Linked DNA regions of Arabidopsis thaliana. The protein of the gene in region 2 interacts with the protein of the main gene of each other region in a pairwise test. Each region holds a gene or a part of one and is shown on either strand. Other genes may lie near its edges.

Evidence for each region.
Region 1: the proteins of ARF19 (region 2) and IAA13 interact in binary tests that used the Arabidopsis thaliana proteins (3 or more experiments, as listed by UniProt).
Region 3: the proteins of ARF19 (region 2) and IAA10 interact in binary tests that used the Arabidopsis thaliana proteins (3 or more experiments, as listed by UniProt).
Region 4: the proteins of ARF19 (region 2) and IAA5 interact in binary tests that used the Arabidopsis thaliana proteins (3 or more experiments, as listed by UniProt).

Annotation. Positions count from the first base shown.
Region 1 is NC_003071.7:14,112,328-14,119,193, forward strand, and holds IAA13 (auxin-induced protein 13), read right to left. Parts: upstream 3,643-6,866; 5' UTR 3,431-3,642; coding exon 3,210-3,430; intron 2,940-3,209; coding exon 2,529-2,939; intron 2,445-2,528; coding exon 2,383-2,444; intron 2,292-2,382; coding exon 2,242-2,291; 3' UTR 1,954-2,241; downstream 1-1,953. Other genes in the region: AT2G33300 (Transcription elongation factor (TFIIS) family protein), read left to right, coding at 803-1,633. UniProt on the Arabidopsis thaliana protein: Aux/IAA proteins are short-lived transcriptional factors that function as repressors of early auxin response genes at low auxin concentrations.
Region 2 is NC_003070.9:6,625,591-6,636,427, reverse strand, and holds ARF19 (auxin response factor 19), read left to right. Parts: upstream 1-3,294; 5' UTR 3,295-3,648; coding exon 3,649-3,691; intron 3,692-3,987; coding exon 3,988-4,100; intron 4,101-4,179; coding exon 4,180-4,275; intron 4,276-4,352; coding exon 4,353-4,409; intron 4,410-4,493; coding exon 4,494-4,649; intron 4,650-4,740; coding exon 4,741-4,825; intron 4,826-4,912; coding exon 4,913-5,003; intron 5,004-5,079; coding exon 5,080-5,440; intron 5,441-5,517; coding exon 5,518-5,656; intron 5,657-5,738; coding exon 5,739-7,483; intron 7,484-7,574; coding exon 7,575-7,765; intron 7,766-7,849; coding exon 7,850-8,033; 3' UTR 8,034-8,745; downstream 8,746-10,837. Other genes in the region: AT1G19210 (Integrase-type DNA-binding superfamily protein), read left to right, coding at 8,898-9,455; AT1G19200 (cyclin-dependent kinase, putative (DUF581)), read left to right, coding at 10,533-10,837. UniProt on the Arabidopsis thaliana protein: Auxin response factors (ARFs) are transcriptional factors that bind specifically to the DNA sequence 5'-TGTCTC-3' found in the auxin-responsive promoter elements (AuxREs). Could act as transcriptional activator or repressor.
Region 3 is NC_003070.9:1,056,022-1,063,011, reverse strand, and holds IAA10 (indoleacetic acid-induced protein 10), read right to left. Parts: upstream 3,543-6,990; 5' UTR 3,283-3,542; coding exon of another isoform or gene 3,204-3,282; coding exon 2,932-3,203; intron 2,730-2,931; coding exon of another isoform or gene 2,689-2,729; coding exon 2,378-2,688; intron 2,281-2,377; coding exon 2,148-2,280; intron 2,056-2,147; coding exon 1,986-2,055; 3' UTR 1,803-1,985; downstream 1-1,802. Other genes in the region: SDD1 (Subtilase family protein), read left to right, coding at 1-1,555; AT1G04090 (vacuolar sorting-associated protein (DUF946)), read right to left, coding at 3,765-5,377, 5,682-5,787; PRP39 (Tetratricopeptide repeat (TPR)-like superfamily protein), read right to left, coding at 6,462-6,578, 6,724-6,825, 6,909-6,990. UniProt on the Arabidopsis thaliana protein: Aux/IAA proteins are short-lived transcriptional factors that function as repressors of early auxin response genes at low auxin concentrations.
Region 4 is NC_003070.9:5,362,940-5,369,327, forward strand, and holds IAA5 (indole-3-acetic acid inducible 5), read right to left. Parts: upstream 3,559-6,388; 5' UTR 3,522-3,558; coding exon 3,176-3,521; intron 3,059-3,175; coding exon 2,974-3,058; intron 2,886-2,973; coding exon 2,825-2,885; 3' UTR 2,573-2,824; downstream 1-2,572. Other genes in the region: CYCA2;3 (CYCLIN A2;3), read left to right, coding at 95-310, 422-668, 765-901, 999-1,091, 1,180-1,313, 1,398-1,473, 1,546-1,656, 1,752-1,901 and 2 more; AT1G15590 (E3 ubiquitin-protein ligase), read left to right, coding at 4,435-4,820, 4,899-5,024, 5,266-5,293; AT1G15600 (uncharacterized protein), read left to right, coding at 5,984-6,339. UniProt on the Arabidopsis thaliana protein: Aux/IAA proteins are short-lived transcriptional factors that function as repressors of early auxin response genes at low auxin concentrations.

The DNA.
Region 1 (6,866 bases), on a different chromosome or scaffold from region 2:
TGTACTGAAATTTTTGTATGTTTCTCTCTCCCCCTTATGTTAGAGCTTAAGCTGATATATAAAAAAAAAACAATGTAATAGCAAATCAACAAAACATTCTGTAATTTCTTGGTATAAAAAGCTTTTGAAGTTGTTTATTCCTTAATCTTAAAATGTTTGCCTTTTATTCTGCAAATTGATCAGTGTTTACTCAGTAGTGAATAAATAAGGAAAACAACAATCTCTCTTTGTTTAATTGTTTAAGTGAAGTAAATGTGTTTCTCTTTTGTAAAAACTGAGGGGTTTTTACTATATTTTTTGTGAAAGTAATTTTGGTTTATGTAAATTTATGTTGAAACAGACCAGCTCTTGTTTTACTTCGTGTTAGCTTTTGCTTCTTACCAAGTTACCGTTGTTACGTGGAACCGAAACAAACCGTTTTTTCGTTAATCTAGGTTAATCTAGGTTAATCTAGTGGCTCTTTATAATCTCTGTTTCTTCTTACGAAACAGAGGATCGGATTAAGAAAGAACGAAAAGAGAGGATTTTTAAAAATACTTACTACTTGATTGGTCACTGATTGTTTTAACGTTGAAATATCTGGTCTGACAGATTTACCCTTGGATGTACTCGACAAGAAAAAAGGAAATTAGTATAGTCCGACGTTGTTTCGTTGCGTGGGCCTGAAGAAAGCTTCCTTTAATTTCCTTTTTTGTTTGGGTCTCTACTCTCTACAATCTATATAATACCTGAAACTCTCTACGCTCTATCTCCATAATTCGATAACCAAATTTGATAGAGTTAAACCCTAGTTAGATTAGGAATGGAATCTCACGTTTTGTTCAACTCCTCATCGATGAAGAAGACTCTTTCTTCCAGTGAAAAAGACGCTTATACTTACAACAAAGCTCTTACCTTGAATCTGAAGAAAAATAATGTTGTTAAAGTATGTTCGGGGTTGAAGAAGAGAGAACATCAGAGTTCGCACGCTCATGAAACCGGAGAAGTTAAGCAAATTGATGAACAGAATCATGTTCCAGAAAAAGTATCCATGAAGAGCGTGAGGGATAATAGTACTTGCTACAAGGTTCGCCTAACGCTACAGAAGCCTGATGTTGTTCAAGTATCCTCAAACTTGAACAAGACAGAAGATCAGAGATCTAGGGCGGCTAATCATGAAACCGGCAAGACCAAACAAAATTTGAAGAAGCCTGGTGATTACAAGTCTTTTGCAGCGAGAACTATTCAGGTGAAGAAGAAATCAGCTTTACCAATGAAACTTTCTAAAAACCCTAGATCCGGGGAACATGGGCCACCTGTGAACGCATCTAAAGGTTGTCCTGTCTTGAAGAAGAACGACAAGGATTTGTTGGAACTGTTCGAGATCGCCAAAAAATCTGCTGATTTTGCCAACGCAAAGGGAATCCTCGCGTCTGAAGTAGAAACATCAATGTGCGTAGATACCCTCGCTTTGCTCTTGGAGTTCCCCATCAGCGCAAGAGCTATGGAAACAAGGAAGCTCATGGTTAGGCTAGAGAATCTTACAAAACACAAGAACCGAAAAATATGCAATTCTGTTTCAAAACTTCTTCAATGTTGGAGGCAGAGTATCAGAGATCAACAACTCAGAGAGTCCCGTAAAACTCAAGGCTAAATGTCACTAGGGAATTTAAAAGCTTATGACTTGAAAACGTTGGTTGCTTGCTTATTCTTTTGCTTAAAGTAGAGTATTGTAGTCACTGCTTCAATTACATTACTCAAAAGCTAACAGTGAGAGGAATATGTATGTATTAAGGATTTTCACAATCACTATTATAAGAAGTTTAACCTGTGTGAAACGTTTTGAGTTGTAAATACATTATGAGTTTTGTAATCTATTTGCTTTCTTGCCTTATGTTTCCGTAACCCCATTTGATCTGAGTAGTTATTTGTGGATATATTGGCATAGTTCTAAGATCATTAGAGTAGACTCATCAACAAAAACCCTTAAAAACGATATTAGATAAGCTTCAAATATTTACAGTGTAGTAAAAGATATAAAGAGCATTCTCTTCCATCCATAGTATATAGTGAAATCGCAACCGAAAATTAAAAGACAGCAAAAAAAAAAACTAAAGAAAACCAGTAAAAACCATTATAAGAACCAAGAAAATACACAAACTGGATATAAGATCAATCTAGCTTATGCTTGCTTCAGAAGTATCTCAGACTTGCAAAACCCCAAAATATAAAACCTGTAACACCGTAACGTCGAAAAGAGATCTAAACCGGCTGCTTTCGCTGTCTCTCGTTTGGTTCTTGATTTCGTGCAGCTGCATATATATTAACATGTTTTAGTAGAAATTTTTCATTGCGTCATCTTGAGAAACAAGAACAGGAATCAAGATGAGATTATCTACATACCGAGTCCATTAGCTTCAGAGGTTTTCATCACACGTAGCCTTTTCACCGAGTTGATGAACATTCTAAGATAATTCCAACAAAAAGACCATCAGAAACATTTATTGGAAGTGTAAGAGATAAATAAACAAGGTTTTTAGATCTATTACCTCCATGGAACATCACCAACAAGCATCCAATCTCCTTCCTTATCTTCATAAGTAAGTACAAACTCAGACGATCCATCTAAAAGCCTCAACGGTTTAGTGAACTGACTGGTTAACCCGACAGTACCCGGATTAGTGCGAAAGAACATATCTTCCAATGTTTGCGCCAAATTCTCGTAAGAAGAATGAGCATTCAAATCCACTTTTCTTCCTATAGCAACTCCATCCATGTTCACCTTAATAAATCCAACTTGTACTTTCCCATTCACTTTCTTTGTCACATCTTTAGGTTCATCATCTTTCACTTTCTTCTTACCAGCTTCTTCTTCTTCTCTTGCTGACTTTGTAGCTTGGTTATTAACCAAACTGTTCATCCTGTGTGACCCTATAGGAGGCCATCCAACAACTTGACTGCTACAAACAAAGCAAACATCAAGTCAGGACTTGTAATCTATCCAAATGAATCAAAACCAAGAACAGATTCAACTATTCAAGATTCCTAATTCCAAACCAGAGCATTTCTTCCGACATAACTCAGATCAAGTATACATCCAAACACTAAAGAATCTTTAAGAAACTCCTAAACGAACTATGTTCAGAGAATAGCAATTTCACATCATACAAAAGGAATTAAACATCTTAAAAGATCTTTCTTTGAAACCAAAAAGCTTGAAAAAGACGAACCTTGAACGAGGAGGAGATGAACCAGCATGAGAAGCAGAATCAGCAGCACGTTTAGAACCAACAGAAGGAAAATCCTTAGCCGTCAAAAGCCTTCCACGCTCTCCCCACGCGCCACCACCACCTGATTTACCAATCTTGGCCGCCGTTCCACCGCCAAGACTCAGCCCTAGACCAAGCTCAAGCTCACTCTCACCTTTCCCCATCTCAAGTTCAGTAATCATCAGAGAGACCACAACAACAACAACAAAAACCCACTAAAAGAAAGAGAGCCCTAGAATCCAAAATCAATCCAAAAGAAAGAAAGAGTCTTTTGAAAGTCAAGAAGGCAGAGAGAGCAAAAAAAAACAACCTGGGAAAGGAAGACAAAGAAAGAAAGAGAGAGAGAGAAGGAAACAAGAAAACAAACAAACAGAAAGAGACAGAGAGAGGATTTTAAGGGTTTCTTGAAATCTGAAAGAGAGTTTCAAGAATTGAGGAAGAAGAAAGAGAGAGAGGATTAGGTGGTGGAGAGAGTGATGAGAAGAGTAGGACCCATATGTCTGGTAGTGGCCATACCAACAACAATGCCATTCTTTCTTCTTCTCTTTTACCCTTTTTTTATTCCCTAATTTTATTATTAACAAAGAAATTCTTTTTAACTTTTCTTCCCGACATTATCAAACTTGTCGTGCTCCCGTTTACCTTATTGTTTTCTCCTGTGTTTATAAAAAAATATGATAAACAAAACAAACATATCTTATTAAACTATATTAAATATATAAACTGTTGTTTTTGTGTTATGTGTTTGTATTTGTGGAAAGCTTTGTTTTTGCATCACACTTTCTTTTCTATTTTTGCAAGAATTTGTATTCGTTTTGATGATTGCTATATTAGAGTTTATTTTGTATTCGTTGCGTTTGATCTTATCTGGTTAGCTATGCTTTATATCATGTTCATAGTAACAACTGTTAAATATGTGAAAACGTATAGCTAAGTACCAGTTTTGAAAAAAAGTTGAATTTGGGTTTAGTTTTGGGTCACTATATGCTCATTTATTTTCTTTTCTTTTTTTCGTGGAGGACTAGACTATGATGGGTTCCAAATAAAGTGAGAACAAAATTGGTTTTCATTATAAGGAATTATTAAATAAATAGTGGTGATGAGATTATTCATCATCATGTTTCTTGATGTGAGCTATGATGATCCTTTGAAAACTTTTTCAATCGCAATTGATGTGTGGAAAATTCTCTTTTGATCAAAATCATGACTAAATGAGAACATTGAATTTCATACTCTATTGATGGATTTGCTAGAAATACCAAACTTAGTTTCAAGAAATATGTTGAAATTTCACAGTATTAAGATACAGTAATATTTCACAACCAAAAAACAAGTACAAGTTTGTTCTCTTTATTTATTTAGAAACTCAGGACACCTGAACCTCTTCAGACTTCAAAGCGACTTATTCTCACAGTTCCAAGTACACTAACAGTTAGTCAATATCAAATAGTTGATTCTATGTTTTTCACGTTATCTACGTTTGTTCTAGAATTGCGTGTGATTTTTATACTCGTTTTTTCTTTTTCCCTTCTACTTATTTTGCATTTTTACTCACTTGTTAGTTTTTATTTTTTTCTTAGGCGCTACCTGTGTCGTTCCTTTATAGGACAAAAGGCACGAACATTGCTTTAACTATAAAGTCGATACCCAAGTGGGCTGTGGGGTTGTCTGTAAAGGTGAAATAAGAAAAATAAGTAGATTATACGAACAGTTATTTATTATCTATCATATAGTATTAATGAATGCTGTTTACAAATGTTTATGAATTAGAGAGAATTCGTAGGTTTTATAGTAACTTCGGTATATGATTTTTTAGTTTAAATAAGAAATTTATTAATGAGTAAAGTGAGGACTTATATACATATGCATAAGAGTAGTGATGCAAAAGAAAACGTAAACAGAGCAAAATAACAGCTTATCTCCGGAAAATAAAACTTAGGTCTAAATGCTCAAAAAGTGGTTTAAATTTGTATACTATTTAACACGATAACGAAAATTGTAGATGTGAGTTTTTCTCATTTACTATTCGTGTAAAGGAAAAGTTATACATTCTTTTCTTTTGTAAAGCTTTTTCAACGTCCTGAATTTTTTAATTGATCTAGTTCGTGTATATTTCAATGAATTAAAGTTATGTATGTAACGAATTACAATTGATCAAATATACCGTGAATTGTGTTTGTCTCTTGTGAACATGCAACAAGTTGAAGGTTAATATCATTTGGAATCATAAGGAAAAGACAAAAGCAGATTCATGATACATAACTTGTAATCAAATGGTTGAAGATAAATGATGGAGATGACTTCACGCTTGTAAATATATATTAATATATATATATATTGATAAAGTATAAACGTTCCAAAATTGTAACATATGTGACATTCCAAATGAATTTTCACGCTTGTAGATGTATATAAATAAATATACATATTTGTTTGATTTGATTGATCTTATATTATAAACATCCCAACAGTAACATATAACTATTCTAAGAAAAGATATATAATGAGAGTATTAGTTTGCAAGAGGATTGTATTCTGTAAAGTAAGATTAAGGACTAGTCATGATTTTTAGAAAGTGATAAAAATACTACATGCTAGACTAAAATCAATATGTAGAAAAATTAGTGTTTTTATTAGGACCATAACATAAAGACTTTGAGACTAAACAATATTGTCGATATATTAATATGTTTTACAGTAGATATTAAAAGGAAATTGTCTTTGTATAACAAAGTAAATGATCACTCGAAGACATTTAAGATTATCTTAGTTCTAATATGTGATTTCTCCTTACCTGAAAAAGGTCTTAAATTGTAGAATAAACTATTTCACACAGTCCAACTTTAGATAGCCAATGTACTATTTTGAATTAGTAGCATACTAGCATGGTCCATACCCATTTCATAACGATCTTTAAAGAAAAAGACCCAAAAAAAAGGTTACAACTTTATTAATCTTTAGCAATTAAAGAATTTATTGCTTCCGTTAGTATATATCAACGAGTTTTTTAAAAAAAATCCGAAGACATAATTAAGGAAGTTATACACAAAAATTTAGATATACGACTGTTAAAAATGGAAATTTATTGCATTCTTATATAAATCAACTTATCTCAAAACATTGTCTACATCAGTCAGATAGTATATCAGAATTGTAAGAAAAAACAAAACATATTACTTGCAAAACAGTAGAATGAAAATTCATTTTTATTTTTTTCACTAAAATGATGAAATGACAACAGTTGAATAAAATAAACTGAAAACTGAAGAATCATTTCACTGTTCTAAATTTTACCAGTCAGCAAATATGTGAGGAGAAATACTGTGACAAATTACTGGAAAGTAAATAAAAAATGGTTGTGAAAGGAGGAAAAAGGCTGTCGTTTTAAGGGGACAAAACGACAAGGTGGATCAAACCAAAAAGTACTTAATATTAAAACGACACGTTGTTCAATGGTCTTTGCGGACCACCCGGATGTTTACCCGTTTAGTGCAAGACACAAATCCCCTTTTTCGCGCCTCTTTATTTCCTTTTTCTCTATTTTTAATCTCGCTAAGTTTAATTATTGTGTCAAACTAAGCTATAAGCGACAATTAATTGATTTAAAATTCTGAACCG
Region 2 (10,837 bases):
TTTTCTTTTTTCTTTTTAAAGCGTTGACAATATGATCAACCATGATTAAATCGCATTAAAAAATTTAAACCATAATAACTTCGATTCAATCTACAGTATTTGACCAACATGGTTAGTTAACTTATGTTATTTGATCATACAATACAAACGATCATTTTGAGTCTCTACAGTAGCTGCCAAAGTTAAGAATTTGGTTGTTCTCTTAATCTGATCATATTATGTTTTAAATATTTTTTAGTTACCAGCCATAAGTTATATAGATAAATAATATCGTAGTAAAGATTCTAACTAATTGGGAATTTCGTTAAATTACGAGTTACAACTTTATGAATCCTCATGTACATGTGTGCTCGCCTGCTCGGTCTTAGCAAAAATTAATATGCGAAGCCAATTAAATGTACTGATGAGTCTGTTTGGGCTAGATTCATCCGTATCTGGGTTAATTATTGGATTGAGCAAATAAACAAATGTAAAACCAAGTTGTAAACACAGTAAACGTTAACCAGTTTTTTTTCTTTTTTTTTTTTTTTTTTTTTTTTTTTGCTGACTAGATCATGAATTCGGTTGTAGTATGCAAAATAGAAATGAAAAATGTGAATAATCAAGGGTAAAGTGAAATTTCTCCCCACAAGTTGTGTAACAACAACTATATCGATTAACGAGTCAAAAATTAAATTACCACATGAAAAATGTCAAAGTTAATTAGGAACTTTTTTTTCATTGAACCAATTAATTTTTGATGAAATTTATGGTTTATTAATCTGACACAACACTGTATAAAAGATTTTTTTTGTTAAAAGTTAAGAAAGAAGAATGTTGAGAGAACCATCAATGTTAAACCAATAGATGATAGTCAAGATTCATAGTATAAAAATTTACCACATTGGTTGAGAGATCAATTCCTTTCACCATAATGTCAATCATAATTAGCCGCTAGAAACGTTTTCTATGTCAAAAATACACAGCTTTTTCATATTGATTTTGGTTCAGAATTTCATGGTTTTATACCTTGTTTGATAACGTCATTAGAACATATGTACTTTTGTACTACTGAAACATTAAACTAGTGTGCAAAACAAGATTTTAAGATAGTCTAAATTCCAGTTAACAGAAAAATAAAAAATATTGTTGGTTGGGAAATAGTAGAACAAACGAGAGAGAGAGTGTGTGTGGTTACGATGAGGAGAAGAGACATAGAGGCATACACTCACTTAAAAGCAAAACCATTTTGGCTAAACCGAAAGACTCGGTCGGAGTCTAGAGCCTGTCTCTCCCGACATCCTCTGCCACACCTCACGTGCATGCTGCACCCACACTCACGTGCACATACATTTTTCTTGTGTTTTAGTTATTTTAGTAAAAACGATATATTTATTGACTCTTTCTGTAATGGTGGTAGAAATTGAGGAATTCACAAAAGTCCCAAGTTTTTGTTATATATGGTGCATGCGTATGTATTTGAGGAAACTTTTGCAGGATGCGTGGATCAAATCCAATTATAATTTAATTTTATATAGATATAAAAGTCAATAGTGGGAGGTGAAAAAAATATCAACAATGATTGAGTGTTACTACTACTAGAATGGTTAATTCGTTTTGATGAGGAGTGATTTCTAAACACATCAATTGTTGTACGTACATATACTCTCCACGCGCAGCAAATATTGACCCAAAAAGGCATAAAAAACACTAAAGCATGCCAACTTTTTATTCTTGTTGAGATTTACTTTGTCGTCCCATATCTTTTCAAATTTTGATCCTCTATAATATATGTTTAAACCTAACTTATCAAACTTTACATTCCTTTTTCTTTTGCTCACTAGGTAAGGCTCTTGAGATCGCTTCACCTCATCTCTTGTTTAACATTTATAAACATGTAGCTGTCTGGTTAATCAATTTACATGTGGTAAATTATAAATTACTCTAGAAAGAGATGTATATTAAACTGCTAAGTTCATGGCTAATCTTCGGTATTTCTTGTTTAACCGCGATAAGTTGAACATATATTAATGAGCTCTTATGGTTTTTGTTTAATGTCCATTTGGAGGTGTGATCATCTCATATGTTCTCACCAAAAGATTACCACTTGAATTCTTTTACATGTGAAATGTTTTAATTTATTAACCCTCTTCTGTTTTGATCAAAACATAAACTATATATTTGAATCTTTTATATATAATTCATATTAATTAAATAACATCATGTTTTCAATGAATGTATTGACATGATATCAATGAAGAATATTTACTTTGGAAAGAGTCAGAGTTGTTCTCGAAAGATATTTAAATGTTCCAAATTATTTCCGTTTGTCTAAACATAGAAAATCCCTAATTACATATAAATCAACAAAAAGGTAATAATTAGGTCAAAACCTCCCCCACTAAATACATGTATACTGAGATTCAGAAATACAATACTATTATAGTATATGTTAATTGAAAGCAAAATTCATAAGAAAGATCGGCGTTGAAAGGAAAAAGGCTCTACAACTACATTTTATATGCATACGTAGAGAGCTGAAAGTAAGGAACAACTCTACTCCGGTCCAGATTAATTGTAAAGAACTTTATACATTAATTAAAACAAAAACGAACACTTTATACTATTGATTAAAAAAAGAAGAAGATGAATAAAATAATTGCCTGAAAAATTAATAATTACACATGAAGGCTTAGCTTTAATTGGAGTATAATGATGTCCGTAGCTCTGTAAACATGTGAAGTTCTCCTCCTTTTGCGGCTAGTGGGTGCTCCATTGCGTATCAAAAGGAATATTATTCTAATCATAATTAAGTCATTAAATTACTAGTAGTGTTTTTTTTTTTCTCGCATTATACGGACATGTCTCAATTTGGACCAATCCATATAAATGAATAAACTTATTAGCTACTACTATATTATAACAGAAAATATGTATATAAAAGAAAAAAAGTGGGACATCTTTTCTGGTAACCAAGAGTTTACAACTTTGGATTAGAAAATATTTAAGTCCCCATTTGGCTTGCAATTTTCGGTCCGCCGAACCTAATCCTTAGGTTTTTCTCAATATATCCGGGTTTATGGTATAACCTCATTCATAAGAAAATCCGTATTACTAAAGTAAAAAATTAAAAATATGGTTATAAAAACGAGGGAAAGTTAACAGATTTTAAAACCATGGACTGTTTTTCCAACAACAGTAAATTATAATCGGAAAAGATAAAAATAAAAAGAAATAAAAAAGGTGGGACCGACAAGAAGAAGACATCAAGTGGGGTGCCACGTCAGAAGGCATAAGAAAAGATTTCATCTTTCCGCATGTATCCGATCCCAATCGGCTTAAATCTCAATATCGATTATTGTTTTTATTTTTTTGAAAAAACACTTGAGAATCTGCAGAAACACGAGAAAAAAAAGAAAAGTTTCAAAGCTTTTTAAGAGCTTAAAAATTTGCTTTGAAGCTTCAAATATTCTTATGAACTAAAAAGAAGAAAAAAGCTTTTGTTTCTTTTTCCTTAGCAGCAGAATGATTTTTGTTTCCAAAATTATTACTATTTAGTTTCTCTCGTGCTCTTCTCTTGAGCAAATACAGATTCGTTAATTTTGCTGAAGAAGAAGAACTCTGTTTCTTCCCTGCACCAAACCAATTTTTTCGTTCTTTCTATAAACCATGAAAGCTCCATCAAATGGATTTCTTCCAAGTTCCAACGAAGGTACACAAGCTTTATATTTATCTTCTTCTTTTCCAGATTTTATACTATTCAATTTCTTCATCAAGGAGTTTCTGCATTTCATGTTTGTGATTTTCTCATTGAAAAAATGAATTTTGTTATTCAATTTCAACTTTGGAGTCAGCACAAAGTCACAAATCGAGTTCTTCTATCACTTTATTTAATAAAGTGGTTGAAACATAAATGCCGCTCATAAAATTTCCAGACTTTAAATGAAACTATGCAAAAATTCTATCACTTTTAACAGATTTGAATATGTGTGTGATGATGATGAACAGGAGAGAAGAAGCCAATCAATTCTCAACTATGGCACGCTTGTGCAGGGCCTTTAGTTTCATTACCTCCTGTGGGAAGTCTTGTGGTTTACTTCCCTCAAGGACACAGCGAGCAAGTAAGTTCATTGCGTTTCAAACTATTTTGAAACCTTTGGTAGCAATCTAAGTAATATGTTCAATGAAACCTTTTTTCAGGTTGCAGCATCGATGCAGAAGCAAACAGATTTTATACCAAATTACCCAAATCTTCCTTCTAAGCTGATTTGCTTGCTTCACAGTGTTACATTACATGTAAGTCTCTTCTGACTCCAACTTGTGAATCAACAAGAAGATGAACTAATCAGGACTTTTGTGAAATTCTGAATCAGGCTGATACCGAAACAGATGAAGTCTATGCACAAATGACTCTTCAACCTGTGAATAAGGTCTGAATTATATCATTCTTCTTGTGCTATCTTGGTTTAAAGTTGAGGACTTTAATGCTGATCTTTGCTCAAAATGTGTGACAGTATGATAGAGAAGCATTGCTAGCTTCTGATATGGGCTTGAAGCTAAACAGACAACCTACTGAGTTTTTTTGCAAGACTCTTACTGCAAGTGACACAAGCACTCATGGTGGATTCTCTGTACCGCGTCGTGCAGCTGAGAAAATATTCCCTCCTCTTGTATGTCTCTCTGATCAAAGCTACTCTCAGTTTCTTTTGCTTCAAACTTTTGAATCTGTTTTGCTAAAAGTTCTAAGGGTGCTTAAAATAGGATTTCTCGATGCAACCGCCTGCGCAAGAGATTGTAGCTAAAGATTTACATGATACTACATGGACTTTCAGACATATCTATCGAGGTTTGAATCATCTAAAGTTTGTTTTATTAGTCTAAAAGATTGAAAACTTCAACCTGATTTGTTTTCTTTGATGTAATCTGATCTCAGGCCAACCAAAAAGACACTTGCTTACCACAGGTTGGAGCGTTTTTGTTAGCACAAAGAGACTATTTGCGGGTGATTCAGTTTTGTTTGTAAGGTATGAGTCATACTTTGATCAAAACATTAAGCAGAATTGGACTTTCATCTTCTCATAAGGGTACTTGGGTTTGCAGAGATGAGAAATCACAGCTGATGTTGGGTATAAGACGTGCAAATAGACAAACTCCGACTCTTTCCTCATCGGTCATATCCAGCGACAGTATGCACATTGGGATACTTGCAGCTGCAGCTCATGCTAATGCCAATAGTAGCCCTTTTACCATCTTCTTCAATCCAAGGGCAAGTCCTTCAGAGTTTGTAGTTCCTTTAGCCAAATACAACAAAGCCTTATACGCTCAAGTATCTCTAGGAATGAGATTCCGGATGATGTTTGAGACTGAGGATTGTGGGGTTCGTAGATATATGGGTACAGTCACAGGTATTAGTGATCTTGACCCTGTAAGATGGAAAGGCTCACAATGGCGTAATCTTCAGGTAATGACATATCCGAGTTATGCTAAACTGTTTATGATGGTCATTTCTTCTGAATCTTTTGTTCATGGTTTAAACAGGTAGGATGGGATGAATCAACAGCTGGAGATAGGCCAAGCCGAGTATCCATATGGGAAATCGAACCCGTCATAACTCCTTTTTACATATGTCCTCCTCCATTTTTCAGACCTAAGTACCCGAGGCAACCCGGGATGCCAGGTGAGTTTACTGCTTTCGTTCATTTTTTTCCCATAGATCTTTGACTGAGTTTCCGGATACTAACCTTGGTGGTTTGTTGCAGATGATGAGTTAGACATGGAAAATGCTTTCAAAAGAGCAATGCCTTGGATGGGAGAAGACTTTGGGATGAAGGACGCACAGAGTTCGATGTTCCCTGGTTTAAGTCTAGTTCAATGGATGAGTATGCAGCAAAACAATCCATTGTCAGGTTCTGCTACTCCTCAGCTCCCGTCCGCGCTCTCATCTTTTAACCTACCAAACAATTTTGCTTCCAACGACCCTTCCAAGCTGTTGAACTTCCAATCCCCAAACCTCTCTTCCGCAAATTCCCAATTCAACAAACCGAACACGGTTAACCATATCAGCCAACAGATGCAAGCACAACCAGCCATGGTGAAATCTCAACAACAACAACAACAACAACAACAACAACACCAACACCAACAACAACAACTGCAACAACAACAACAACTACAGATGTCACAGCAACAGGTGCAGCAACAAGGGATTTATAACAATGGTACGATTGCTGTTGCTAACCAAGTCTCTTGTCAAAGTCCAAACCAACCTACTGGATTCTCTCAGTCTCAGCTTCAGCAGCAGTCAATGCTCCCTACTGGTGCTAAAATGACACACCAGAACATAAATTCTATGGGGAATAAAGGCTTGTCTCAAATGACATCGTTTGCGCAAGAAATGCAGTTTCAGCAGCAACTGGAAATGCATAACAGTAGCCAGTTATTAAGAAACCAGCAAGAACAGTCCTCTCTCCATTCATTACAACAAAATCTGTCCCAAAATCCTCAGCAACTCCAAATGCAACAACAATCATCAAAACCAAGTCCTTCACAACAGCTTCAGTTGCAGCTACTGCAGAAGCTACAGCAGCAGCAACAGCAGCAGTCGATTCCTCCAGTAAGCTCATCCTTACAGCCACAATTATCAGCGTTGCAGCAGACACAAAGCCATCAATTGCAACAACTTCTGTCGTCTCAAAATCAACAGCCCTTGGCACATGGTAATAACAGCTTCCCAGCTTCAACTTTCATGCAGCCTCCACAGATTCAGGTGAGTCCTCAGCAGCAAGGACAGATGAGTAACAAAAATCTTGTAGCCGCTGGAAGATCACATTCTGGCCACACAGATGGAGAAGCTCCTTCTTGTTCAACCTCACCTTCCGCCAATAACACGGGACATGATAATGTTTCACCGACAAATTTCCTGAGCAGAAATCAACAGCAAGGACAAGCTGCATCTGTATCTGCATCTGATTCAGTCTTTGAGCGCGCAAGCAATCCGGTCCAAGAGCTTTATACAAAAACTGAGAGCCGGATCAGTCAAGGCATGATGAATATGAAGAGTGCTGGTGAACATTTCAGATTTAAAAGCGCGGTAACAGATCAAATCGATGTATCCACAGCGGGAACGACGTACTGTCCTGATGTTGTTGGCCCTGTACAGCAGCAACAAACTTTCCCACTACCATCATTTGGTTTTGATGGAGACTGCCAATCTCATCATCCAAGAAACAACTTAGCTTTCCCTGGTAATCTCGAAGCCGTAACTTCTGATCCACTCTATTCTCAAAAGGACTTTCAAAACTTGGTTCCCAACTATGGCAACACACCAAGAGACATTGAGACGGAGCTGTCCAGTGCTGCAATCAGTTCTCAGTCATTTGGTATTCCCAGCATTCCCTTTAAGCCCGGATGTTCAAATGAGGTTGGCGGCATCAATGATTCAGGAATCATGAATGGTGGAGGACTGTGGCCCAATCAGACTCAACGAATGCGAACATATACAAAGGTTAGAGATCTTTCTCTCCCTTTCCATAGCTCTAATCTTTTGCTTCTTAATTTTCGAATGCTAAATGCCGAAAGTTGTTAAATCATTGAAGGTTCAAAAACGAGGGTCAGTAGGTAGATCAATAGATGTTACCCGTTATAGCGGCTATGATGAACTTAGGCATGACTTAGCGAGAATGTTTGGCATCGAAGGACAGCTCGAAGATCCGCTAACCTCTGATTGGAAACTCGTCTACACCGATCACGAAAACGATATTTTACTAGTTGGTGATGATCCTTGGGAGTACGTTCCAGACCTGAAAAATCTATCTGTAACAGTCAAGATTGAACAATTCTGATAATTCTTGTCTGTTTGTTTTTTCCACAGAGAGTTTGTGAACTGCGTGCAGAACATAAAGATACTATCATCAGTAGAAGTTCAGCAAATGAGCTTAGACGGAGATCTTGCAGCTATCCCAACCACAAACCAAGCCTGCAGCGAAACAGACAGCGGAAATGCTTGGAAAGTACACTATGAAGACACTTCTGCTGCAGCTTCTTTCAACAGATAGAAATAAAAAGATGCAAATATACCAAGTCAACTTACATTATCATTCGAGGCCATCGCAAAGTACATGTTTTTTTTTGTGTGTATGTACTGCAAACAACAAACTGAGAAGAAGAAGATACTGCACGGTATATAAACATTTTTATAGGACAGTGATTTGATTTTTCATTCTAACTTGATGTTGTTGTACTTTCTTGTTTCCATATTTGTATAACAAGTATAATGCTTGACAAGTCTATGAGGAGCATATCTTATACAGAGATACTAAGATGTAATGTTAATGTAACTAAACAATTACCTTCATTAATCATGAATCTTTGGTCGTTTCTTCTTCTTCTCTTCAGTGCCTCCTAAGAATCAGGGATCATTTCAGATTCTTTTATACCAGTATCCTCTAGACGCAGCGAAATATTCAACATTTCAACGTTTGAAAACGAAAAGAGAGGAGTTAAAGAAAGAATCACGTGAAAAACAAGGACAAGGACAAGAAAACCAAACAGTCTCTGAGATTTCCCGTGTGAGTTGTGACCCACACACATTAAGACTCAAGCTTCTAGTAACATCCGCCACGTGTCCATTCCCCTGACACTTTGCGGCGTTTTAAGTACAAACGCGCTCCCTTTGACCTTTGAAGCTGACCTTCTTTCTTCTTCACGCGCCATAAAAAGTCAAAAACTCACTCTTCACTCTTTTATTTCACTCGTATAAATAAATTTCTGAAGCGCCAAATACAATTATCTCAATTCAAATCAACACTAACACTGAAGAACAGAGCTCACTGAAAAAACTTAACAGAACAAAATTAAACCGGAAAACAGAGAAATCATACCGGGTTGGTTCAATCGCGTCTTTGTTTGGTTTAATCGTGATGGAAGGGTCGTCTTCTTCGATGCAGTCAAAGTACAAAGGAGTGAGGAAGAGGAAATGGGGAAAATGGGTTTCAGAGATCAGACTTCCCAACAGCAGAGAACGTATTTGGTTGGGCTCTTACGATACTCCTGAGAAGGCGGCGCGTGCTTTCGACGCGGCTCTTTATTGTCTCCGTGGCAACAACGCAAAGTTCAATTTCCCTGATAATCCTCCGGTGATCTCCGGCGGACGTAACTTGTCGCGATCTGAGATAAGAGAAGCTGCTGCGAGGTTCGCTAATTCGGCGGAGGATGATTCAAGTGGCGGAGCAGGATACGAGATACGGCAAGAATCTGCTTCAACATCGATGGACGTTGATTCGGAGTTTTTGAGTATGCTTCCGACGGTTGGTTCGGGTAACTTCGCTTCGGAGTTTGGGTTATTCCCTGGGTTTGATGATTTCTCCGATGAATACTCCGGTGATCGTTTCAGAGAGCAGCTTTCGCCTACACAAGATTATTATCAGCTTGGAGAAGAGACTTACGCCGATGGTTCCATGTTTCTTTGGAATTTTTGAATTCCATTATTCACAATCTGAAAATTTTGACTTGGGTTTTTTATTTTTTTTTGTAGTTCTTTACCCAATTTTTTTTTGATCATTGGGATAAAGAGTTATTCATTCACTATTTTTTTCCCACGTGTTAGATTTTTCAGATGGGAAAAGGCCAAACTTAATAAAACAATTATATTTGGATCTTCTGACGTCATTTGATCATATTATCATGATATCATCCACTCCAATCGCTTTCACTAGGCCCAATTACAAATCTTATTTTAACTGTACGATTAAGCCCAACAATAATACTTCAGGCCCATTAAAATCAATAAGGGTATTGTCTTATTAAATTTCAATTACAATTTTTACTTTAAGTTGTACGATTAAGCCTAATAATAATATTTCAGGCCCATTCAAACAAAGGCAATAAGGGTATTTGTCTTATTAATTTTTATATATTTATTTTCTGATATATTTGACAACGACCTTATTAATGTTTTAAGGGTTTTCAATATAATCATTTCAATGAATATCTTTTAAGAAAAAAAAATATACAATTCAGTAATCAATTAAGCCAGTGAAATTCAAGGATTAATTGGAATTAAAAAAATTGAAACAAATAGTTTAAAATTGTTATGAAATTATGCTACTATAATTTATCTAAACCAAAACGAATATTCTTAGCCACTAACTATTAACTTGACAAATCCTACAGTTAGTTATATTCAAAAAAAAAAAAAGAAGAAGAAGAATTAAGAATCTAGTTACGTAATTGTCTCAAATTCAAATTACATATTGCATTATATGTTTACAAGTGGCAAAAATGTTAATATAATATGCAGTAATTTTTTAAAAATAGAATCTGGATATATTGAAAGGAAAAAGAGTTTAATAGATAACGTAAAGAGCTTTATTAACAAAATGCGAATATCCGACCCGTAAAGAAATGCGGATATCCGGTGGGGCTAAGTCTGTAGCTTCTCCATTTCATCTTCTTTCTCTTCTCCACAATCAGATTTTCCTATAAGATTTGCTTCTTCCATTGCTCTTCTCATCGTCATATATCTTTCTGTTTCTTTTTTTCAGTTCTCGATTAATATGTTATCAAGCAATCCAATGACCTGGAAACTCTCCCACATGGTGGTTCCAGGTAAAAACTCCACTATTTCGCCGGATTATTTCACGGCTAGTCAAACAAGTCCTTTAGATATGATGAAATTCCCGTCGCCTGGAAGTTCGAAGAGGTACGATAATGGCGGTGGAATTGGTTTAGGTATCGTCGCTGCGCTTGAGAAATCCAGCATCGGGATCAATCCGGTTTGCCATACCGGTGCCGGTTCCAAAGGATTTGACCTGGCTCGATATTCCAAGAGATTCCAATTCGCGGCGGGGATTGATCTATC
Region 3 (6,990 bases), 5.6 Mb from region 2:
AGTCTATAAAGTCTGTTGGTTCAATGGTTGTTACAGCTCTGACATTCTAGCAGCTATAGATGTAGCGATTCAAGATAAAGTCGATGTTCTTTCGCTTTCCCTTGGCGGTTTCCCTATTCCTTTGTATGATGACACAATCGCCATTGGAACATTCCGAGCCATGGAACGCGGTATATCTGTAATCTGTGCAGCTGGTAACAACGGTCCAATCGAAAGCTCTGTTGCAAACACAGCTCCTTGGGTCTCAACCATTGGCGCAGGCACGCTTGATCGAAGATTTCCCGCTGTGGTCAGATTAGCCAACGGAAAGCTTCTCTATGGAGAGTCATTGTATCCGGGAAAAGGTATAAAGAATGCCGGGAGAGAGGTTGAGGTGATTTACGTCACAGGAGGAGATAAAGGAAGTGAGTTCTGTTTGAGAGGGTCACTTCCAAGAGAAGAAATCCGAGGCAAAATGGTGATTTGTGATCGCGGAGTCAATGGAAGATCGGAGAAAGGAGAAGCGGTTAAAGAAGCTGGAGGAGTTGCAATGATCTTAGCCAATACAGAGATCAACCAAGAAGAAGATTCTATTGACGTTCATCTCTTACCAGCTACATTGATTGGTTACACTGAGTCAGTCCTTCTGAAGGCTTATGTTAATGCCACGGTGAAACCAAAGGCGCGGATAATTTTTGGTGGTACGGTGATTGGGAGGTCACGAGCACCGGAGGTGGCTCAGTTTTCAGCTCGAGGACCGAGTTTAGCCAATCCTTCGATACTAAAACCGGATATGATTGCTCCGGGAGTCAATATCATTGCGGCTTGGCCTCAAAATCTAGGACCAACCGGACTTCCTTATGATTCAAGAAGAGTTAACTTCACTGTAATGTCAGGAACTTCAATGTCTTGTCCACATGTTAGCGGAATCACTGCTCTTATCCGGTCTGCATACCCGAACTGGTCTCCAGCTGCAATCAAATCCGCATTGATGACAACAGCGGATTTGTACGATCGTCAAGGGAAAGCGATAAAGGATGGTAACAAACCAGCCGGTGTGTTTGCGATTGGAGCAGGGCATGTGAATCCGCAAAAGGCGATAAACCCGGGATTGGTTTACAACATTCAACCAGTGGATTACATAACTTACCTCTGCACTCTTGGATTCACAAGATCAGATATTTTAGCAATCACTCATAAGAACGTGAGCTGCAATGGAATATTGCGGAAAAACCCGGGTTTTAGTCTCAATTACCCGTCGATAGCCGTGATTTTCAAACGTGGCAAGACTACGGAGATGATCACAAGGCGTGTCACTAACGTTGGGAGTCCTAACTCGATATACTCAGTGAATGTCAAGGCTCCAGAGGGGATCAAAGTTATTGTCAATCCTAAGAGACTTGTGTTCAAACACGTGGATCAGACGCTGAGCTATAGAGTATGGTTTGTATTGAAGAAGAAAAACAGAGGAGGGAAGGTGGCTAGCTTTGCACAAGGGCAGTTGACTTGGGTCAACTCTCATAATCTGATGCAGCGAGTTAGAAGTCCAATCTCTGTAACCTTGAAGACTAACTGAGCCAATGAAGGAAAACGTTTTTCATTCTGTTTCAAGACTGTGTTAGGTTTATTAGGTTTTTATGCTAAGAAAACCTCGTGAAGCTGATTGATTGTTGTTATTGTACGCACAAGAGCTGTATTTCATTTTCCAGGGAATGAAACTACTGGTGATTCTATCATATTACTGTAGCTTGATTTCATCACTAAACCCTAATCCAGATGCATGCCTTTGTTGTTATAGTGGTATATTGGATCAGGCACCAATAGAGTGAAAAACCCTAAATATACAAAGATCTTTAAAGACAAGGTTAAGCTGTTGTTTGATATTCACAAACGACCACAAGACATATGTACACTCATGTATAAACATATGCACATGTATATATGTGAATGTGATATATGAGTTACAGACCAAAGAGATGTAAACTGTTTTTGCTATATAGGACTCTCTACTTACCTACTCCAGCTCCAATTGATGTCTTCATGATTCTCAGTCTTGTCACAGACCCGAGGAACATCCTGAGAAGATGAAAAGATCGTTTTCATTGAAATGGATGTGCCACATTACAAATACAGATGATGAATGGGAAGTTATAAGGGTAGTCACTTACTGCCAAGGAACATCTCCTACAAGCATCCAATCTCCGTCTTTATCTTGATATGTTATGATATATTCCGATGAGCCATCCAGTAATTTCGAAGTACATGTTTCCTTAATTGTCTTGTATCCTTGTGTGTTGGATCCTACAAATCGATCAATCAAAACCAGTCAATTTCAAGAGACACAGAATTTGAAAAACAGAATCACATGGAATCTCATGAAACAGAATTAGTAACTGACTTGTTACAGGAGAAGGAATCTGGAAAAACATTAGATCCAAAGTTTTCTCTAAGGCTGCATAAGAATCCAGAGCATTGAGATCAACCTTCCTTCCAATTATAACTCCGTCCATTGTCACCTTCACAAGCATAGAAGTCCTGGACGATTTGATAAAGCAAGCATCATCGTTCTTAGCAGCAACCACTACACTTTTTGTAGTCTCCTTTTGAATGCCAGAACTCAAGCCGCCTTCCGTAGCTAAAGACTTTGCTTGATTGACCAAACTGTTGATTCTGTAAGTCCGTAGAGGCGGCCAACCTACAGCAACTTGTCTGCTCCATTACCAAAAGATATTAAATCAAAAGACGAACAAGTATAAACCAATATGATTCAAAAGTTTAACTAAACATTTCAGGGAACACTCTATTTGATTCAATCCTGTGATTCATTCATTCTCAAAGTTTAAGGTCTAAAAGCTCTATCCTCTAAGTTGCTTTGATTCTGTAACAATAAGCAATCTGAGACCAATCATTCATATAGGTTATAATATAAAGTCTCGAAGATGAATTTTTTACCTGGTTGCGTTTGAGGCGGCAGCCGGAGAAGAATCAGCAGAGCGTTTGGTCCCACTTTCCCTGGTCAGAGAAGAAGACGAGGAAGACAAAGACGATCGAACCTTCCGACGACCAATGCTAAGACCCAAAGCTAGGTCGAGCTCTGTCTCTGACACTGACTCGTCGGGGCAAGATGAATCCTCCGACGAATGTGCGGCGTTTTCGTCTTCTTCAGCTGGTAGTCCGATCATCACCGACCCACTTGACGAACAAACTTCTTGCAAACCATTCATTATCCCAAATTGCCAAACGAATACACAAAGCAAGAACACTAAAACCCTTGATTCAAATCCAATTATCGATCAAGTTTGAAGAAACCCATTAACCAAGCAAACCAAAAAAAAGGTTTCAACTTTCAACACCTCTACGATTCTGAATTTCGAGACAGAAAAAAAAAAAAAACTTGAGGTCACGCACGGATCCACAGAACTGAAATTGAGAACTAAACGAGGTTTTAATCTTGATTCGAGGGCGACTTCGATTCTCGGATCAAAAACAAGGAATTTTTCTTAAAGAGAGAGAGAATGAAATTGGAGGAACGAAAAATCGGAAACGGTACACGAATGTGTGCGTTGCGTTTGGTGGAGGTTTGTTCGTCTATATAACTTTATTATTTTAATTAAATACATGATGGGACCCACTTGTATACACTTCTAACGACAAGTTTTACGTTAATCCTACGCTAATTGTGTAATTAATCTCTTGCGCAATCAAAGCTTCATCTTCCTTTACAAGTTACACAGTTAGGGCTCCGATGGTAATCTCACCACATCTGTTTCCCAACAGTGAGAATTTCAACATCTTTCATCGCCATACCAATTGTTCTTCTCCTTTGGTCCTGTAGGACCTTCCTCGCCGGATAATTCCACCGGAAGTTTTCTAAGCACTGTGGCAAGCGAAACCCTAACCGTCCTCGGAAATCGATTCACCAATCTCTCTATCTCCTCTCTTGAATCGTACACAACCTTTGGTCCCCATTCTCTCATGTACTGCAACCACGGCGGTTCTGCCAACACACTGTTTCCGCTGAGATACTCCGCTGCAATGATCTCGTACCGTGAGCTCGAATCTACCAAGAGTTCACTACGCGCAGTGTCATTTCTTATCCCAATCCCAAGCATTGTCGATCCCTGTAAGTAAGTCCCAGCCCTAGGAAAGCTTGCGTGACCATGTTTTGAAGAGTAAACAACGGCTTTGTTGCTTCCGGGAATGATTTCAAGGTCGTATGCTTCGATCCACTCGCCGCCACTGTGTTGAGACAAGTAGATTGAGTAAAGCTCACCAGAGAAATTGCTGATTCGGAGAGTGAAATGTTCCCAATCGCAGACGTGTTGGCCAATACTGATCAATGAGATATCGACGAGTCCTAGTTTTAAGGTTGCTGGTCCGTTAAATGGACAGAAGATCCAGAAGACAAGATCCGTGAACGTTCCTCCAAGAGCAGGCTTAATATGAATGTAAAGTTTCGAGCTTTCAAGGTTTCCTCGCTTGACGAAATCTCTTTGTTGATCATCACACGGCAAATCAATCCAAAACTGCTTGTCATTGCTTCCTCCTTGAGGCAAATTCGAACCATTTTCATCGATAGGTTCCTCGATTGGATTTCCCTTTTCGCAGAGAACTGCACCATTTTTGAAGAACCACGAAACAGAAGAAGGTAAGTAAGTTTCACCAGGATGGAAGACTAGTGTAGGACCATAGTGTTGAATCAAAGCTTGAATCTGATCAACATTTGGCATCGCATGTAAACTCAAATCTAGATTCTTTAGACAAGCAATACCGATACCAAGATCTTCTCTAGCAGCAACAAGCCGAGTTCTGCAGAAGAAAGTACCTGCAGAGACACCTTTGCCCCACATTCCTCGGTCTGAAGGCCGAGTTCTCCATATAAACAAAGGAACACCTAAAGATTCTGAAACAGCAGTGACAATGACATTGTGGGGTTCACATATATCAGTAAGATCAGCTCTAACACATCTAACTTCATTCAACTCAGGTTTCACGGAAGTCTTTGTAACCACAAAACCGATCGATCTATACCCTTCAGGAGGCTGCGGTAACCAGAAGTAACCGCATTCGCTCTTACTACTACATTCATTTTCTGCTGAATCATTTGAGCTCCAGACAAGAGTAAAATCAACAGGTTCCACTAATGCAGGTTTCTCTACCTGTTCTAATGAATCCACTAAATCTCTTGCCGCAAGTACATAACCTCTCAAAGGATGAGAATCAGACTGACAGTAGTGACCTAAGCAATGGAAGTCTTTAGGTAACAATCCCTTTGGTTTGTAAAATGAAATGTTCTTCTTCTTCTCTGTGGATCTGTATCTCCATATAAATTCAAAATCCGTGATTTTGATGACTTGTAATTTGCCGAGATTGATTGTTCCAGAGCCAAAGCCTTGACCTGATCAGTTTTCAAAGGATGGAGAGACAAAATCTAAGAGACCCAGCTGAAAAATTTCTTCAAAACGCAATCTTTAAAGAATCCTCTTTGAAAACGCAAAAGATTTGATTGACCATTGTTCGAATTAGATTAGTGGATATAGAGATCTGATTGAAAAACCCAATTGAATTTCACGAAATTGAGGAAAATCGAGAAATAAAAATCTCTCTTTTGTCAAGGCTTAAGAAACCTAAAATTGAAATAGAATTTTTGAATTCGAAATCGTTGACAAGAGAAGTCGGGAATTGAATGGAATTGGAGTTACCTGGAGGCCAATGGGGAATGGAAGAAGGAAGAGAGAAGGTTTCAGGGTCCTTTAATGGCGGTAAATCTATAAGATTGTTCCAGTGGAGACATTTGTAACCCAACATTCTTATCTGATCGCGCGAAACCCTAATTAATCAGGAAGGTGGAAATATGTCAGCTTTGTAGCATCTCATCACTTGTTTACCATTTCCTTCGGGCAATAAATTAAAGATTTTCCTCTTATTGAGAAAACCAAAAAGTCATGAAACTGTTTTATCCAATTCCACACATCAGCGAATACCTTGGGGAAAAAGTAACTTTGGTTTTTGAAGAAACGCCACAAGAAAATGATGATGAACACGAAAAACTTGGACAGTCGCACAAAATATGTTTTGTTTCAAAATATATCTAAAAATCCTCGCATATTTACCCCATAAGTTTTAAAATTGTATATTTTTCCCATTAAGTAAGAATTCGAGGTCTATTCTTTTCTTTTTGGAAAATTAAGTTCTCTAAGCGTCGTTACTTTTCCTTTTTTTCTTCTGAGGAGTTTAACTGAGTTAGATCATTGAAACAGTACTACCCGGCTCCATCAATTCAACTTCTCTGGTTACAATCTGTATCATAACCGGCGTAAATCCAAGAACTTTTACGAATCAAACAAACTGAAGAAAAGTAAATATCTATTGTCACTGATCGAGAAAAGAGAGACATGTAAACATCCAGACACTAAATTTGAGTAGATAGAAGCAAATGGTTATCAATTACACTACAAAAACGACCAGCAGCAGTAATAGGCTCAGTAGTACGTGTTGTAGTACGCTTGAGGAGCAACAGCAGCAGCCGGTTGCTGCACCGGTGCAGCCGCTGGTGCTGCTGCTGCAACTGGAGGTGCATAACTCTGCGTTGGGTATGTCTGCAAAAAATTTCACAAAGATAAGATCCAAGTTAGATGATCAAAGACTTATCTCCAAGAGTGATTCCCAATTCAAACTGGTGGCTAATCCCTGTAATCCTCCTAAATACTCCTGAGTTTAACACTAATTAAGAATTTTGGTTACCTGAGCAGGATACGCTCCATAAGCTGCGGCCTGTGGCACAGGTGTTGGTGCTTGTGGAGCGGTATAGCCAGCAGGATATCCCCCATATGCACCATAAGCAGCCTACAAAGGTATATTCGATACTATTATAAGAGTAAAAGTATAGAAGGAAGGAAATGGATATGGTTCTATCTTTGGTATCTTACCTGTTGACCGTAGGCAGGGTTCCATTGCTGTGGTTGAGCAGGAGCAGCTTGTGCTGGTGGCCAAGTCTGAGGCTGCGCAGCA
Region 4 (6,388 bases), 1.3 Mb from region 2:
TCTTTGCGTTCTTTTGACAGATCAGAGGAAGATGATGCAATCCTAAGACTCTAAGACTTCTTCAAGGCTGTGTTTTATCGTGGGATTTTTAAACATGGGGAAGGAAAATGCTGTGTCTCGGCCATTCACTCGTTCCCTTGCCTCTGCTTTGCGCGCTTCAGAAGTGACTTCTACTACACAGAATCAACAGAGAGTAAACACAAAAAGACCAGCCTTGGAGGATACAAGAGCCACTGGACCCAACAAGAGGAAGAAGCGAGCGGTTCTAGGGGAGATCACAAATGTTAACTCCAATACAGCTATACTTGAGGTTGTTAAAACTATATTATGTTTCTTTATAGTGTTTGGTTTCCTGTGAATTTTTGTAAAGATCTTGTGAAGTAAAACATGCATCACTGAAACATGGGTTTTGCCATTTCAGGCCAAAAACAGCAAGCAGATAAAGAAAGGACGCGGTCATGGATTGGCGAGTACATCCCAGTTGGCAACTTCTGTTACTTCAGAAGTCACAGATCTTCAGTCCAGGACCGATGCAAAAGTTGAAGTTGCATCAAATACAGCAGGAAACCTTTCTGTTTCTAAAGGCACAGATAACACAGCTGATAACTGTATTGAGATATGGAATTCTAGATTGCCTCCAAGACCTCTTGGGAGATCAGCTTCTACAGGTGATCCATTTAACACAAGTTTTCATATGATTAGTTCCTATTGTATAAAGGAGTGGTCTTTAATGACTTATAAATCTTTTTTGCAAATGGTTACAGCTGAGAAAAGTGCTGTTATTGGTAGTTCAACTGTACCGGATATCCCAAAATTTGTAGACATCGATTCAGATGACAAGGATCCTTTACTGTGCTGCCTCTATGCCCCTGAAATCCACTACAATTTGCGTGTTTCAGAGGTAATTCCTAGGCTTTGATAGTCTCTAAAGAAACTTGGTGAGCCAAAGGACTGAAAGTTTTATTGCTTGTGCTTCTGTGTCACTTCTCTTCTGGCAGCTTAAACGCAGACCACTTCCGGACTTTATGGAGAGAATACAGAAGGATGTCACCCAGTCCATGCGGGGAATTCTGGTTGATTGGCTTGTGGAGGTTAGTGTTTAGTTCTACTTTTGATGCTAACTTTTGAAGCTACTATGACCTTTTCCGGGTTCTCACAAAAGTCTGATTTCAATCACAGGTCTCTGAAGAATACACACTTGCATCTGACACTCTCTACCTCACAGTGTATCTCATAGACTGGTTCCTCCATGGAAACTACGTGCAAAGACAGCAACTTCAACTGCTCGGCATCACTTGCATGCTAATTGCCTCGTATGTTCCTCTCCAATCTCACTAGTAAATCTCTTCTCAAAAGCTAAACTAAACTTATACTGCATTTGTTTATAAACTTTTCAGGAAGTATGAGGAAATCTCTGCTCCACGCATTGAGGAGTTTTGCTTCATTACGGATAACACCTACACAAGAGATCAGGTATACCGAGATTGCTGTCTGAATCCTCAAAAAAGAAAGTGTGCAATGTGCTAATGGAGTCGTGATGTGCAGGTCCTGGAAATGGAGAACCAAGTACTTAAGCATTTTAGCTTTCAAATATACACTCCCACTCCAAAAACGTTCCTTAGGAGATTTCTCAGAGCAGCTCAAGCCTCTCGCCTGGTATGCATTTCGCAATTTGCTCCCCTATCTCTTCTAATTACAAAGTTTAGTAGAAAGACTGAGAATGTGTCCATATTTGATTGCTGATTCGGCAGAGCCCAAGCCTTGAAGTCGAGTTTCTAGCCAGCTATCTAACAGAGTTGACATTAATAGACTACCATTTCTTAAAGTTTCTTCCTTCCGTTGTTGCTGCTTCAGCGGTTTTTCTCGCCAAGTGGACAATGGACCAATCAAACCACCCATGGGTCTGTGATGTTGCTTCTCTTTTGTATATCCAGACACAGTTTAGCTCCACAAAATCTTTGATCTTTAACATCTTTTTGATTTTTCCCCCGGCAGAATCCAACACTTGAGCATTACACAACGTACAAAGCATCGGATCTGAAAGCATCTGTTCATGCCTTACAAGATCTGCAGCTTAACACCAAAGGTTGCCCCTTGAGCGCTATACGCATGAAGTATAGGCAAGAGAAAGTAAGCTTATCAGTTAAAACCACATACTAAAACCTGTTTGGTATAACTTTAGTTTGGTTTCCTTGATTCTCATAAGACTTATTATGGATTTGCAGTACAAATCTGTGGCGGTTCTCACGTCTCCAAAGCTACTTGACACGCTATTCTGAAGGTTTCAACTCCTAACCGATAATAGTTTTGTCACATTGATGGTCCAATTTCGTTTTCATTCATCTGTTACTCTTTGTTCATAAAACAGAATTTCCACAGTCCCACTCATCTAATACCTGATTAGAATTCGGTTTAGCCTAGTTTGATCCGTGGTTTGGTTCTTCCAAACCCGGGAACATCTAATCGGTACCTAGAGTTTTTTTTATTGTAACGAGAATGTACATTTTTCTCCCATCTTGAGGCAATGTAAACAGATTCGGAATTTTCATATCAGTTTTCTGATATGAAGTAGGTTTAAGTATTTATATTTCAAATTTCATTGATTGTTGATATTGAACTGTCATGCAGTAGCTTATAAGAACCGCCTCTAGACTTTAGTCCAGTGACCAAAAGATAAAGATGAATGAACTATGTCAAAGAAAACAACTTCTACAGAAATTTCGGAAATCTTAGACTTCCGAAGAGAAATATTGAGTAACTGCAAAAATGTATATTTAGATATCTGTAAGGCTCACTCACATTCACATGTGACTATAAATATCATTCATCCTCTGTTACATGATCTCTTCATAATCCTTAACCTCTTGCACGATCCAAGGAACATTCTGCACACAAATAGTTTCATAATTTATTAGATATCAATTAAATAAAAGAAAGTAAATTTGAATGTTATAGAGGTCGCTAGAAACTTACTCCCAAGGAACATCTCCAGCAAGCATCCAATCTCCATCTTTGTCTTCATATATTGGTACACATTCACTTTCCTTCAACGTATCATCTTCATTTTCATATATAAAGATTATAAAGTTAATATCGATGTTTTGGATCATTAGTTGCCTTGATAAGTAAAGACTAAAACCAAAAATATATACTATATATAGAAACATAAACTAACCAAAATTGATATAGCATCCGAACAGAATTTGCAGAGCGGAAGCAAGATCTTGGTAACATTTGTACATTTCCAAATCAATCTTCCTTAAAAATGCAGCTCCATCTACACTCACTTTCACGTACGAACTTTTGGTCCGTTCGAGACTGTTCTTTCTCCGGTACGAACAAACCGGTGGCCAACCCACAACTTGACTCTTTTTCGCCGGTTCACATTTCAAATCAATCTCTACTTCCGGAGAAGCCCTCTTCTTCCCGGAGATGGACTCACCGGAGACGACGATATCTCCGGGAAGACCTAGCCGTAGTTCGGTGATTTCGAGTCCAAGATTATTACTCTCATTCGCCATCTTTGATGTTTTTGATTGAAAGTATTGGTGTTAATGTGTTTGAACTTTATTCTGTTGCCACTTTATATGTTCTCATGGGAACATAAACGATGGCGTTTGAGACAAGCTTGTTTAGCATTGATTTATCTTGTCGGCCCCATTCGAAGATCTTGTCGAAATTTTTATGTCATGTTTTTTCATTCCTTTGCCGCTTCGTGTTTAAATGTCGATAATATGGATCCGTTGGTTCGACACACTGGACGGCCACGATTTTGTTACCGACAAAGTAGGGTTTCTTTCTCAGCCGTTGGATCAGAAACACGTTACTTTCTATTAGACATCCCATGTTATGTGTGATTTGTTATGTCTGTATCCCATTCTTTTAATCAACGACATAATAATAAAACAACATATTCATGGTCGAATATATATTAGTGCACTTTAAAATCTACGTATATTTATGTTTCTCGACAACCGAACACGTGTTACTCAAGGCTAAGACAAGTTATTATATTATTTCATTTTTTTCTACACGTAACACACTACACAGTGCATACATAATTTCAAAGAAAAAAATGCATCTACGTTTTCGTCATATATCTTGTTTCTGCTATTCACACATGTGCCCGATACTTTCATTACATCATACGTAATCTACACATGTACACCATACTTTTGTCATTATTTGTTACGAAATAGAAACAGAACTGATCAAAATATCAATTACGGGATATATTTCCATTTTTCATAGATATTTCCATATCTTTGTATCTCCAATAGTACATTTTTGGAATGTTCACATGTTGATAGATAAGCTAGATTAGTCAAATTTCCTTGTACACAATTTCTAGTTTTCGATTGATCATGTAGAATTGCGTATAATATATTGTCGGCTGGCTTTAGCCAATGAATAACACAACAAGACTTTGTGATAATGGACAGCGAATCCCACAGTGATAATGATGATCACATAATCGACATTACAAACGATGAAGATTCTTCATCAAGATCGTCTTTGGACGAGAGAAGCTATCCTTCATTAAGTTCGTCTCTGTCTACGGATGACGAATCGTCAGATGAAGGTGCAAGTTCATCTACGAGAGACTGTGGTAGTCTTTGGAATATAATGGAATTAGTAGTCACTTTGGTTCAGATTGTTGCATCATTAATAGTTTTAACTCTGGCAAAAGATGAACATCAACAAGCACTTTTGTTAACATGGGTCATCGGTTACACTTGTGGCTGTATTACCATTACGCTCCTTATTCTCCTCTCGTGTGTCCGCAAATACAACCGAATTGGTGTTTACTCAAAAACGAGGTATAATAAACAACACTTGTTTCACTTAACATTAAGAGTTTAATTAGCTAAATCAAACCGAACCGTTGTTGGTGGCAGAACGGATAGGGTAATGGATGCTTTGAAGATGGGGAATGAATGTTTCTTTGTTGTGTGGTTAGTTATGGGGATTCTATGGATTTGTTATGGACACTCATCTTCTTCTGATACTCCTAAGCTCTACAGGTTTGACTCACAATCATGTCACAGTAGAGATTTAGTTAAACCCTAACTAATCAGTACTAACTTTTGTCTTCTTGATTATGTTTTGGCAGGTTATGTGTAGTCTTCATTGCTTTCAGTTGCATTAGATTTGCATATGCATTACTATTATGCGCAGGTATTTTTTTCGCTTAATGTTCACTAGAGTTTGGAACATTTTTTTCTCATATCTATGATGTGGATAAGTTGAAATCAAATGATGTAGATTCTGTAAGGGAAGGTATAGGAGGTAGATTTGTTTTCAAGAAACCGAGCCATGATGATGTGAGTAATAATTTCATATCACATTAATTACTCTGTTTTAAATAGCATTTTTTTGTTGTTGTTGTTGTTTAATTTTCATGGTTTGATGGTGTGTGCAGAGTTGTTGCATATGCTTGGGGAAATATGGAGAGGAAAAAGGAGTAGGACTAAGGAAACTTGAATGCTCACACGTATTTCATTCGCAATGTATAGACAAATGGCTGAAAATCAAATCCACATGCCCTCTCTGTCAATCACAAGTTAGGTGGTGATGAGATGAGGTTGATTTTTTTTTTATTTTTTTTTCGCTCAAGAGTAATTGTACACATTCAATAAACAAAAGTGGTGGGAAACTGAAAGATACGATCCTGTCTTCTTGTGTTGTCTGTCTTAAAACAGAAAATAAATATCATACAGATCATTTGACCTATTAACAATTTAACTTGTCCAAAACATCTGCAATATATATAAACATTGAAATCTCAGCTTTGATCTTCATTTTTCAAAATAATGTTTTATTTGTAACACGACTAATACGTACTTAGTATTGATCTGGTCTAAAAAAATACTAATAATTTTATCAACAAAGAAGGAAAGGTATATGCTTTGTGCTCGTCAACGCAAATTTGAATGAACTTTTCATTTGATCGGCAAGAAATAGGAAAAACCAAAAGTGATCAATGGAGGGCCCTTTGTTGAGCGAGTGTGAACACATCATTGACATTACAAGCGATGGTAGTTCTTCATCAATTGATGGTCAGCAACCACACGAGGGTGTTGAATTGGGTGATCCATACACAAATGAAAGCATTTGTAATTCAATCGAGTTTGTTGTGACTTTGGTCTTGATTGCTGCGGTCATAATCGTTCTGATTGAGCCAAGAGATGAAGAACATCCACAAACAATGTTGTCTATATGGATCATCGGTTATACATGTGGCTGTATTGCCACTCTCCCTATCCTATGTTGGCGTTTTTGGCTTTATAACCGAAGCGTTGGCTCCGAATCTACAGATGAATACTTAAGAGAGACAAGGTATATATAAATTGTGTTTTCTTTTATCTTTTTATGCATTAGATTGAGA